Linked DNA regions of Cricetulus griseus. The protein of the gene in region 1 binds, or shares a complex with, the protein of each later gene. Links are inferred from orthologs where the notes say so. Each region holds a gene or a part of one and is shown in the gene's direction. Other genes may lie near its edges. The genes, in order: Ppp4r4, Ppp4r3b and Ppp4c.

The links.
Region 2: Ppp4r4 (region 1) and Ppp4r3b share a complex: the UniProt entries of both Homo sapiens proteins name them as parts of the PP4 complex. The link is inferred for Cricetulus griseus from reciprocal best matches to the Homo sapiens genes PPP4R4 and PPP4R3B.
Region 3: Ppp4r4 (region 1) and Ppp4c share a complex: the UniProt entries of both Homo sapiens proteins name them as parts of the PP4 complex. The link is inferred for Cricetulus griseus from reciprocal best matches to the Homo sapiens genes PPP4R4 and PPP4C.

What each region holds. Positions count from the first base shown.
Region 1 is NC_048598.1:191,028,002-191,031,655, reverse strand, and holds part of Ppp4r4 (serine/threonine-protein phosphatase 4 regulatory subunit 4), read left to right. Parts: intron 1-2,640; coding exon 2,641-2,762; intron 2,763-3,654. UniProt on the Homo sapiens protein: Putative regulatory subunit of serine/threonine-protein phosphatase 4.
Region 2 is NW_023276807.1:78,078,817-78,082,470, reverse strand, and holds part of Ppp4r3b (serine/threonine-protein phosphatase 4 regulatory subunit 3B), read left to right. Parts: intron 1-1,445; coding exon 1,446-1,585; intron 1,586-1,945; coding exon 1,946-2,130; intron 2,131-3,654. UniProt on the Homo sapiens protein: Regulatory subunit of serine/threonine-protein phosphatase 4 (PP4). May regulate the activity of PPP4C at centrosomal microtubule organizing centers.
Region 3 is NC_048596.1:73,952,675-73,956,002, forward strand, and holds the end of Ppp4c (serine/threonine-protein phosphatase 4 catalytic subunit), read left to right. Parts: intron 1-160; coding exon 161-211; intron 212-381; coding exon 382-483; intron 484-973; coding exon 974-1,147; intron 1,148-1,241; coding exon 1,242-1,368; intron 1,369-2,130; coding exon 2,131-2,320; intron 2,321-2,406; coding exon 2,407-2,536; 3' UTR 2,537-2,778; downstream 2,779-3,328. UniProt on the Homo sapiens protein: Protein phosphatase that is involved in many processes such as microtubule organization at centrosomes, maturation of spliceosomal snRNPs, apoptosis, DNA repair, tumor necrosis factor (TNF)-alpha signaling, activation of c-Jun N-terminal kinase MAPK8, regulation of histone acetylation, DNA damage checkpoint signaling, NF-kappa-B activation and cell migration.

The sequences.
Region 1 (3,654 bases):
TGCTCTCAGAAATATTTTTGATAAGTCTTTTGAGGCTACATTACTCTTGTTGGATTACTGTGGACTATAGTTAATAGTCTCACCCAAACCTGATGAGTCAGAATCAGAATTTGACTGGACAATGTATTACTGCCTTATTCACTTTATAAAGATGTGAAATATTTATTTGTTTACTTTTTTTTTAACCACCTGACATTTTTTTTCCTGTTTAAAAAGTGGGAAGGCTAAGTTTCTTAGTTATGGTTCTATTGCTGTGAAGTGACACCATGACTAAGGTAACTTATAAAAGAAGGCATTTGCTTGGGGGCTTGCTTGTAGTTTCAGAGGGTTAGTTCATCGTCGTCATGGTGGGACGCAGACAAGTGTGGCACTGGAGCAGTAGCTGAGAGCTTTACATCCTGATCCACAGGCAGCAGGCAGAGAGAGTAAGAGAGGGAGGGAGAGAGACACACTTACAGAGAGCCAGAGGCAGAGAGAGACTGGGCCTGGTGTGGCCTTTTTATACTTCAAAGCCCACCTCTGGTGACATACCTTCTCTAACAAGGCCACATCTCCTAATTCTTCCCAAGCAGTTCCAACTGGTGACCAAGCATTCAAACATAATCAAACAACCACAGCAAGGATTTTCAAATTAGTCTTCCCCAAATTAATTTAGGATTATTCTTTATGGATTAATTTATGAAAACAAAATTGCAGAGAATATACTCAACTTCAGCAGGTTAGAATCTATTTAAGGAACCAATTTCTTGACCATGTACGCATATTTATTTATTGTTGAGTATCCCTGTTGTCCTCTTACAAATATGACTGACTATAGGATTCTTCATGGTGTGACAACTGAAAAGTGATGGTGTCTTATTTCTAGTCATGTCAGTCAGCTTTCCATTGCTGTAACAGATGCTGTAGCAACTAATGGGGAGAAAAAGGTTATTTGGGGTCGTTATTTGAAGGTTTCCCATAACCGTTGGGTCTCTGGGAAGGCAGCACATCATGGTGGAGAGTGTGTGGAACACGGCCATCATTTCTTCACCAGGAAACAAAAAGTGGAGAAGAAGGGACTTCCTGCTTCCAGGGCATGTCTCCAGAGTCTGGAAAACTCCCAATATGCCCTATGTCCTAAAGTTCCCATTAACTCCTTATAATAATCAAACACCAAAACTTTTTGGCTCTAATGAAATGAGAAAATTAATTATCTCCTTAACACTTAAAATTATTTAAATTCACACTAATACAATGTGGTAGAGGATTTAACAAGGTGACATTCTTGAGAAGAAAAAGCTGTGAGAATGAAAGTTTAAATAAACTTACAATTAATTTTTAAAAAATTAAAATAGGCTAGAAAATTCAAATGCATAGTGAATAGTTGTACACAGCCACCCTCCGAGTTCAGAAGAGAGAGATGACTTGCTTAGAGGTGTGCTGTTAGCTGTGTGGTGGGGGAGGACCTGTCCTCACAGGTCCAGCTGAGGTTCCTGTTGATGCCCTGTCTGTCATACAACAAATGCAGTAATTATAGACAGCGTAAGAGAAAATTTTGCTCAAGACCGTGTGAGGAAACTGAAGGAGCAATCTTCTGTTGAAGGCTTTTTTGGTTTGCTTTATTGATTTATTTTGACAGGGTCTCACTGTGTAGCCTTCACTGGTCTGGAGTTCACTAAGCAGACCAGACTGGCCCAAAACTCAGAGACTCACCTGTCTGTGCCTCCCCAGTGTTGGGATTAAAGGTGTGTGCTACCCCTCCCAGTTTTTAGTGGTTTTTTGAGATTTATTCGTTTGTTCATTTTTTTTTTTTTGAGATGGTCTCACTGTGCAGCCCTGACTGGCATGGAACAAGACCATGCTGGCCTTGAACTCTCAGAGATCCACCTGCCTGTGCTATTTTTGTTAAAAACTCTGTCAATAAAATACGCCACGTATAATTTATGCTGCCTTCCATATTGTATCTAAGAAAGCTGACAATATGTTATGACTCCCTATTATCTGAGTCTGAACCTTTGTCATCAGTAGGAATGAAGTGCTGGCTTTTTGCTGCTTATGACTATGTTCTAAATGTTGTTTATTCTGTAAAAGCATCTTTCATACCTTATTGTTTTATGTTGAATATCCAGTGTTGTCTGTCATTCTTCTGTGTGGAAACTATCATAATGTTGTGTTTCAGATGATTAGAAAAATAACATATGCCCCAAAATCTAGGTCAAATGGTTTTGCTTGAATTTCTACCAATACTTATAATAACTTTTTTCTTAATTAGCTGGATCACTTTTTGAAATTTCTTTAAAATTGAAAATGATATAATTTATAAAGCTTAATATAATGTCCTAATCATTAAAATTTCTATAGTTAACAGTAGTTTACAGGTGAAATGAAAATTGATTTAATCATGAAATTATTATTAATATTTATTTAAATATTTTTAATTCTTTGAGAATTTCACATGAAGTGTTTTAATTATATTCCCTCACAAACCCCCATGACTCCTCCCATATCTAACCTGTATTTCTTACACTATGGCTGCTTTTCCAACCAGATGGCATGCTTGGGGACTAGCGTGGGACACTGGGACCATCTGGGATAATCACTTGTTTTCACTGGACTCTTGCTGTTGGTCTGACTTACTTTCTTCTACTGCTTATTGTGCAGGACAGAACTGACAAAGAGTGTGGTGCTCCCCGAATTAATAGAACTCTCTGGGGATGAGAGTGGCAGTGTGCGGCTTGCTGCTTTTGAAACCTTGGTGAACATGCTTGACATGTTTGATACAGGTAAAACTGCATGTGCAGAGATCTTTATTTCTGAAAGACTGTTTCCCATATTACTAATAAGGAGCAAAGACTGATTCAGAATTTTTTGTTGAGTTTAGAGTTTTATGATTCTTCCATCTTGATGCCTTCCATACTTTTACTCTAACCCTCCTGGAATCTAGTGCTGCTGTATGTTTCATACTTCTCATTTCTCTCTTCAAAACTTAACTGACATATATAGAAGTTGAAGAATTTGTCTTGACAAGTAGCCCTTAGCTCACCCAACTAACTGATGTTAAGTCCTGATTGTAAGATGCTTATAACATCTAAATGAATTCTTTCTTAATAATATTATAATGCCAGAAATCTGGCTGTGGGAGGAGAAATTTGGGGTAGATAATTCAATGGTGATGTGAAAGACGTTGTTTCTTGTTCTTGTGCAAACTGAGCCGCAGGAAGCTAGCTGATCTACCAAGTGTGGACCTAGACCTAGACTGGGGCCTCGCTCTGGGCAAGTGGATATTAGCCACTATGACAACGTAATATTTGGAGGGCTAAATGTCAAGACTGAGGTATGAAAGTCAGTTGTGTAATTGTAGGATTGGGTTCACTAGAACTATTGACATTTTTTCTGGACTGGGAGGGTCTCTGAAGATTTTTGTGGTATAGACAATAATTTTGTATAAATATTTCAGAATGATCATTGAAGTAATTTGATAAATACAGGAGCAATGCTGCACATAATTGGATGAATCTTTTTGCCTCTAATATTGAGGGCACCCCTAGGATTCAGACTGGAACTGGCATTAATGGGTTTTCCCTGCTTCACTGCTCTGGCCTCTGTTTTCACAGACCTTCATTTCCTCCCGCTCTTCCTCCTGTTGCTGACTCCAGCCCATCTCTAGCCTTCCAT
Region 2 (3,654 bases), on another chromosome or scaffold:
ATAATCAAATTGAGTTTTCATTCCTATTTTCCTGAAATTGTTTAATCCATATGTCTTAGAATCTATTTCTAATAAACTGAAAATTTAAAGGTCACATACTTTCTTACTCTTACTTGTAAGTGTCTAGTAGTTGAATGACAGTTTTGGGTGGATCTTCAGGATGGGTCACTGTTGGTGATCATGTATAGATTCTATGTCACCACCAAGTCACTCACCAAACCACTATTGAAAATTAGGACATTTAAAAGTGAAATTCAAGTCTTGTGATTCACATTTGCTCATTTTTTCTCAGTGTCATTTTTCTTGGAGAAATGTTTTAGGATCATGTGTGGCATGTTGAACATTACAGTCAAGCAAGACATTCTTGTGATCTATTGTGAAACTGCAGTTTTCTATCATAGGAGTAATAATAAAAAATGAATACAAAAACTAAATTTTTTTCTTTAGTAGAATTTTTTACAAAATGTCTAAACAATGGGATGGAATTTTAAAATTTTGAAGATGACAGAATTGGAAAGTTAAAAGTAGTCCAAATGCCTTTTGTTACAGTTGAGGGAACTGAGGCAGCAGAAATGAAATTATTTTTCTAAGAGTGGCCACTTGCCAGGAGTATAATTTTGAAAAGGTGAAGTGTAGTTTAGCCTTGGAAGACAAGCAGCATAGTCAATTACCCTAGCTGTTGTCTGTTCTGCTGCCTCTCATGAGCTTTCTATGGACTTAGATCATTTTCCCTTTAGCATTTTGGTGAGATACTGATAAAATGAATTGAGTTCACACCACCCAATGCCTTTGATAGAGTTTGCAATTTTTTTTGGAAATTGATAAGCTTAATACACTGAATCTTCAACCTTAACATGTGTTTGTTCCATTTACAACAGTTTACTGCCAAAATAGAAAATGTGGAGTTACAGTTAAGTAGTTGATCCAGTTTGTATATACAATATAATCAAAGGAATCTGTGCTTATTATCTATTTAGATAAGACTTACACTATTTTGACAGCAGTTAAATAGGAAATCATTAACAATTACTGAACATATGGGCTTAACATTTGTTTTCTAATAAGCTCTCAAGGCTTACATTTTGTCTTTTTGTAAAATGGGTGTAACTTCATGATTGTGAGAATTATATGTAAAATTGTGGAAGTGTTCTTTGAAATTATGAAGTACTGTATAAAGCATTAAGACATAAACTAAATCCATTGCTTTTCAAATGTTCCTTATAGCCCCCTAAAGGGCTCCAGTGAATTGCCTCTCCTTGTTCCAAGTTTTCTGTGGAGTCCTGTCCTGGCTCATGTATAAGGAATCTAGGACATTTATTTTTAGAAGGTGATTTTGAAAAACCTTTTTTGATCAACTTTGGAACTATTCAAGTTTTTTTTTTTTTTAATTTTTTTCTCAACAAGTATTATATTGTTTTGTAAATACGAATTTTGTGCCTATACAGGAAGATATCAAGTCTCTTACTGCACATATAGTTGAAAACTTTTATAAAGCACTTGAGTCGATTGAATATGTTCAGACATTCAAAGGATTGAAGACTAAATATGAACAAGAAAAAGACAGACAAAATCAGAAACTGAACAGGTATTGTTTAAGTGCATTAACATTTGTAGAAAGCAAAATTAAGTATGAGATGGTCCAGTTGAAATCTTAGTATGTGAAATTTTCTATATTAGCATAGCCTTTTATAAGAGGATCAATTGTCCTTCTTGCCCCATCCATTATAGATAACTTACTTGATAGTGCATATATAGTAACTCAAGATGGATTCTTAATTTAGTGTACCACATGCAAAAACATTTGATGAGTTCTCTGACTACATTGTACATGGTGACATCATAGCTTAAAAGTATGTTAGTTCATCTTGGTTTATTTATCCTTCCCAAACTTATCTGGTCATGACCTTGTAGTCATTATTCAATATCTGTAATATATTTCTTACAGTGTGCCGTCTATATTGCGTAGTAACCGATTTCGTAGAGATGCAAAAGCCTTGGAAGATGATGAAGAAATGTGGTTTAATGAAGATGATGATGAAGAAGGAAAGGCAGTTGTGATACCAATTGAAAAATCTAAGACCGAAGATGATTTTCCAGATAGTTATGAAAAATTTATGGAGACTAAAAAAGGTACTAAGATCCTGAATGTTCATATAATACTGACTTTCTTAGTAAAACAGTCAGACTGCCTGAGTTTGATCCTGAGCACCATGCACACGCACGCACGCACGCACGCACGCACGCACGCACGCACGCACGCACACACACACCCATAAAAAATAATAATAATAAACTTTTACCTGTTTGGGAAAGTCTGGCCAAGGTTTGTAAAACAAACATAAGAATTTTATGCTGAGTCATACCCTTTTAAAATTTTCCACTTCCCAAGTGTTTTTTTGTTGTGTTTTTTTGTTTTGTTTTTTAAATTTTTTTTGGTTTTTCGAGACAGGGTTTCTCTGTGTAGCTTTGGAGCCTATCCTGGCACTCACTCTGGAGACCAGGCCGGCCCCGAACTCACAGAGATCCACCTGCCTCTGCCTCCCAAGTGCTGGGATTAAAGGCATGCACCGTCAATGCCCGGCCCAAGTTATTTTAGGTGTTCATATTTAATTAGTTTTCCTTGAAAGATGATGTCTTTGATGCTATTCATTTTGGGCTCAAATTTTTTCAATTTATACTATTATTTAAAGCCAGGTCTCAATGTGTATCCTTGTTCTAGCCTAGAGCTTACAGTTTCCCAATCTCAGCTTCTCACTATATGCTATAGTCACTGTACGTGCCACCACACCTGTCCTCTGTTAGCGATTTGTTGTCTGTCTATACGTCTCTGAGCAGACCAGTCTTGGCTTTGTTTCTTTATGACAATTTCATAGAGGATTTTTGTTATGATTAAATTGTTTGAGTGTTTCTATTATTAAGTAACGGAGACTATAACTAGAGCAGTCCACCTCTCATGTTTACAGCTGAGAAAGAGAGCTCAAAGAAGTAACTTTGAAAGTTCAGCTTTTATTAAAGTTGCTTAAAGAAAGATATAATAGGGAGAAGCTGGGCATGGTGGGATACACCTGTAATCTCAGCATTCTTGAACTAAGGTCATAGAAGCACTGTGAACTTGGCCAGGCATAGGAAGACCCAGTCTCCAAAAAAAAAATAAATAAATAAACCAAATAAACCCAGGTGTGGTGGCCCCCTCTCCTAACCCCAGCACTCTAGAGGTGGAGACAGGAGGATTAGAAGTTGAAGGTGATCCTCAGCTACAAAGCATATTTGAGACTTAGCCGAGGTACATTAGATACTACCTCAAAGGGGGAAGGAGGAAGTTTTCCTACTTGTTGTATAGAACTAAGATATTGCTTGTATCTTTCAAGAGAAATAATCAGTGTCCTAAAGAAAATCCGACCTGCTAATACTCTGTGAATGTTTAATAGAAATTTATATGTTGTAAGGCAACATTATCTCTTGGACGTATTTTTAATGTGGCTTATCCTACAGGTATTTCTTCTTTCTTAGAAAATTCATTCAGTTGACTAGTACCTTTTTTTCAGCCATTCCCCAATCTAACTTATTTCCTATTCATGAGTACCATGGATTCCACCCAAGAAGGGCAAAGAGATTATTGGAGTTCTAAAGAACATTATTTACTTTTTATTTATG
Region 3 (3,328 bases), on another chromosome or scaffold:
AGAACAGGCTCACTTGGGTTAGAGAGGGAATTTGGGTCCTGAGATGGGGTGGTGTCACCCTGGCTGGCCTGGAAAGTAACATGTGTTTTGAAGGATGGTGTCTGGGAATAGAGGGACTGTGCCTTTGTCCACTCTTTCAACCCACATTCTTTCTTTCCAGGTATGTGGTGACATTCATGGACAATTCTATGACCTCAAGGAGCTTTTCAGAGTGAGTGGGGGGATACTGGGACTTTGAACCTAGGGTGACAGAAAGCCATGATCATTGATAGGTCTTAGGCTGCATGGTCTGTGGGTGAGAGAAGGGGCTCAGCTAGACTCTGGTTGCTGTAGCCAGAGAGGATAGTTTGGGGCCAAGCAGAGTCGTATCCCTCCTCCCAGGTAGGTGGCGATGTCCCTGAGACCAACTACCTCTTCATGGGAGACTTTGTGGACCGTGGTTTCTACAGTGTTGAAACCTTCCTCCTCCTGCTGGCTCTTAAGGTGAGGACTCTTGGCCCCTGGAGCCTGAGCTTTGGCCACTACTTGCTGCCCTCATCACCTTTCCTGTCACCTACCTTGGAACTTTGCTGTGGCTGTGGACTGTGTGCTTAGCGGGGCTAGTCAGGACTGCTGCCATGAGTGGGGCCATCTCCTGAGCCCTTACAGAAGAGGCTGGTGATGTGAGTTTTGGAAAGCAGGCAGAGGCTGTGTGTTCAGGGAGCAGCAGGAGTTAAGTGAACTGGGAGAAGTCATAGTGAAGGGCCACATGGGGTGAGTGTGGGGTGCTAAGGACAAGAGCCAGAGTCTGGCAGTAGCTTCTGGAAAAGGCTCTCAGGAGCTTGTGAGGCAGGGACACCATGATTTATGTAAGAGACTGCGGGAGTCTGGGCCAGGCAGAGGACTGAGTGAGGCTAATGGATGTCTTGGAGACTTGGGATGGTTAAGTGGGAGGTAGAGACTAGAACCAGTTCTTGCTTGGTGCTACCCCTAGGTTCGATATCCTGACCGCATCACTTTGATCCGGGGCAATCATGAGAGCCGCCAGATCACCCAGGTCTATGGCTTCTATGATGAATGCTTGCGCAAATATGGTTCAGTGACTGTATGGCGCTACTGCACTGAGATCTTTGACTACCTCAGCCTGTCTGCCATCATTGATGGCAAGGTAGGTTGGCCCTGGATCTCCTGGGGGGAGGGGGAGGCTGTGCTGGGTCTCTGGGCTTTTAGTTCCTTCTCTCTGGTATCATTCTCCCTTCTAGATCTTCTGTGTGCATGGGGGCCTCTCCCCTTCCATCCAGACCCTGGACCAGATCCGGACAATTGACCGAAAGCAAGAGGTACCCCATGATGGACCCATGTGTGACCTCTTGTGGTCTGACCCTGAAGGTGAGGGCAATACCTGAGCTGGCTCTCCGTGTGTCTTGTGAAGACTGGATTAAGCAAGTGTATGAAGGGAAGTCAGGCAGGGAAGAGGAGGGCAAGTTTGGCCTGTACTGGCTTCTGCCTTCTCCTTGTGTGACTGGATCCTCCTCAAGGAGCAGAAAGCATGAATGGTGGTGCACTGAGGCCTACTGTGGGTTGGCTCATGAGTTTCATGGCTTAGAGGGTCTGTTCAGGATGAAACCCTTGGCTCCCTGGGGGGAAGAGGTCATAGACCTTGACAGTAGCTTCTTTGGAGGTGAGACCCATTCCCTTAGAACGAAGACCTCTGACGGTTCCTAATTTTGTGTGGTTCCCCTCTAGTTAGGGGCGGAACTGAGGTTTAAAGCCTGGCTTTCTGAGTACCAGTCCTAAGCATACTCTCTAATTCCACCACTGTTACTGCAGTCTGCGTCATGTGGCATAAGGTGACCTTACTGCCAGGAAAGTGGTTGGTCATGGCTGGTGCTCTGGGTGTGAGCACTTCCTATCACTTGAGTGCTGCTTGAACAGCACATTGTATGTTATGGCCACTGTGATGAGGAGGTAGGTCCCAGCCATGAAGCCATCTTTCTCCTCGGAGTGCCTCTGCTCCAGTATTTACTATCCTATCTTCCAGGGTTCCCTAGAACAAGCCTCTGGTTGATGAGGGGAAGAGGCACAGGCTTCTAATTCTGTGGTATAGTAGTCAACCAGAGGACCCCACACATTGTCCTTGTCTTGTCTCAGACACAACAGGCTGGGGAGTGAGCCCCCGTGGGGCAGGCTACTTGTTTGGCAGTGATGTGGTGGCCCAGTTCAATGCAGCCAATGACATTGACATGATCTGTCGCGCCCATCAATTGGTGATGGAAGGTTACAAGTGGCACTTCAATGAGACCGTGCTTACTGTGTGGTCAGCACCTAATTACTGCTACCGGTAAGCTGGCAGGACCAGGAGCCGGGGTAGGGGTAGGAGTAGGGATCTAGGCCAACTGTTGCTAACTGTGCTGTTCCTAAATCCAGCTGTGGGAATGTGGCAGCCATCTTGGAACTAGATGAGCATCTCCAGAAAGATTTCATCATCTTCGAGGCTGCACCACAGGAAACACGTGGCATCCCCTCCAAGAAGCCGGTGGCTGACTATTTCCTGTGACTCCTAGGCCCCAGCCCCTCTGGCCCTTGGACCACTGTGACTGCCCTCTGCCCAGTCGGAGGCCGGGTGTGGAGGGGCTGCCTGGCTTTGCTTGCCCTAGGGTGCGGACTGCTCTGGAGAGGTTGGGGCCTCCACTCCAGGCTTCCTCTCCTTTCTCCCATTTGATCCTTGAAGTTTCCAGTCATTTTTTTTCCTTTTTTTTCTTTTGTTTTGTTTTTAGATAAACATTTTGAGAAAAAAAAGAAAAAAAATTCTAATAAAAGAAGAAAAATAGTCTTGAGGGTGTTCTGTTACGTTTGACTAGGCCCTGAGGTAGACAAGGAGCCCTGTCCTGCTTGTCCACTAGCCCGGAGCCTTTAGGCTCCATCTGGTGATCTTTCCCAAAGGCTTGCTTAGTACTGGGTAAAAGTGAGGTTCCAGGACAGCCTTTATTCTTAAAACAACCATTGTGAAGAGATTTACCCATCCCCCTGAAGGGGGACATGCGCAGAGCAGGCTGCTTCACAGCCACAAGGGCAAGCATCTGGAAACGGGTCTGCCCTCAAAGCTGTGGCTCCCCAGCCCCACCCAGGGCCAACACCATTAGCCCAACGTTTCCTGAGCACTAATGTCTTTTGAGTTTTATTAACAAAAATACTCTGATCCTGAGAACAAGCTGGTGTGGCTTACACCAGTGATGAGGCCCCTGGGAGGTGGGGGCACGGGGCTGAGGCCCCCATTTGGCCAGGCAAAGTCTTCCCTCCATTCACACTGAGGTGAGAGCTGAGAAGGGGAAGCTGGCCCCAGCTGGAT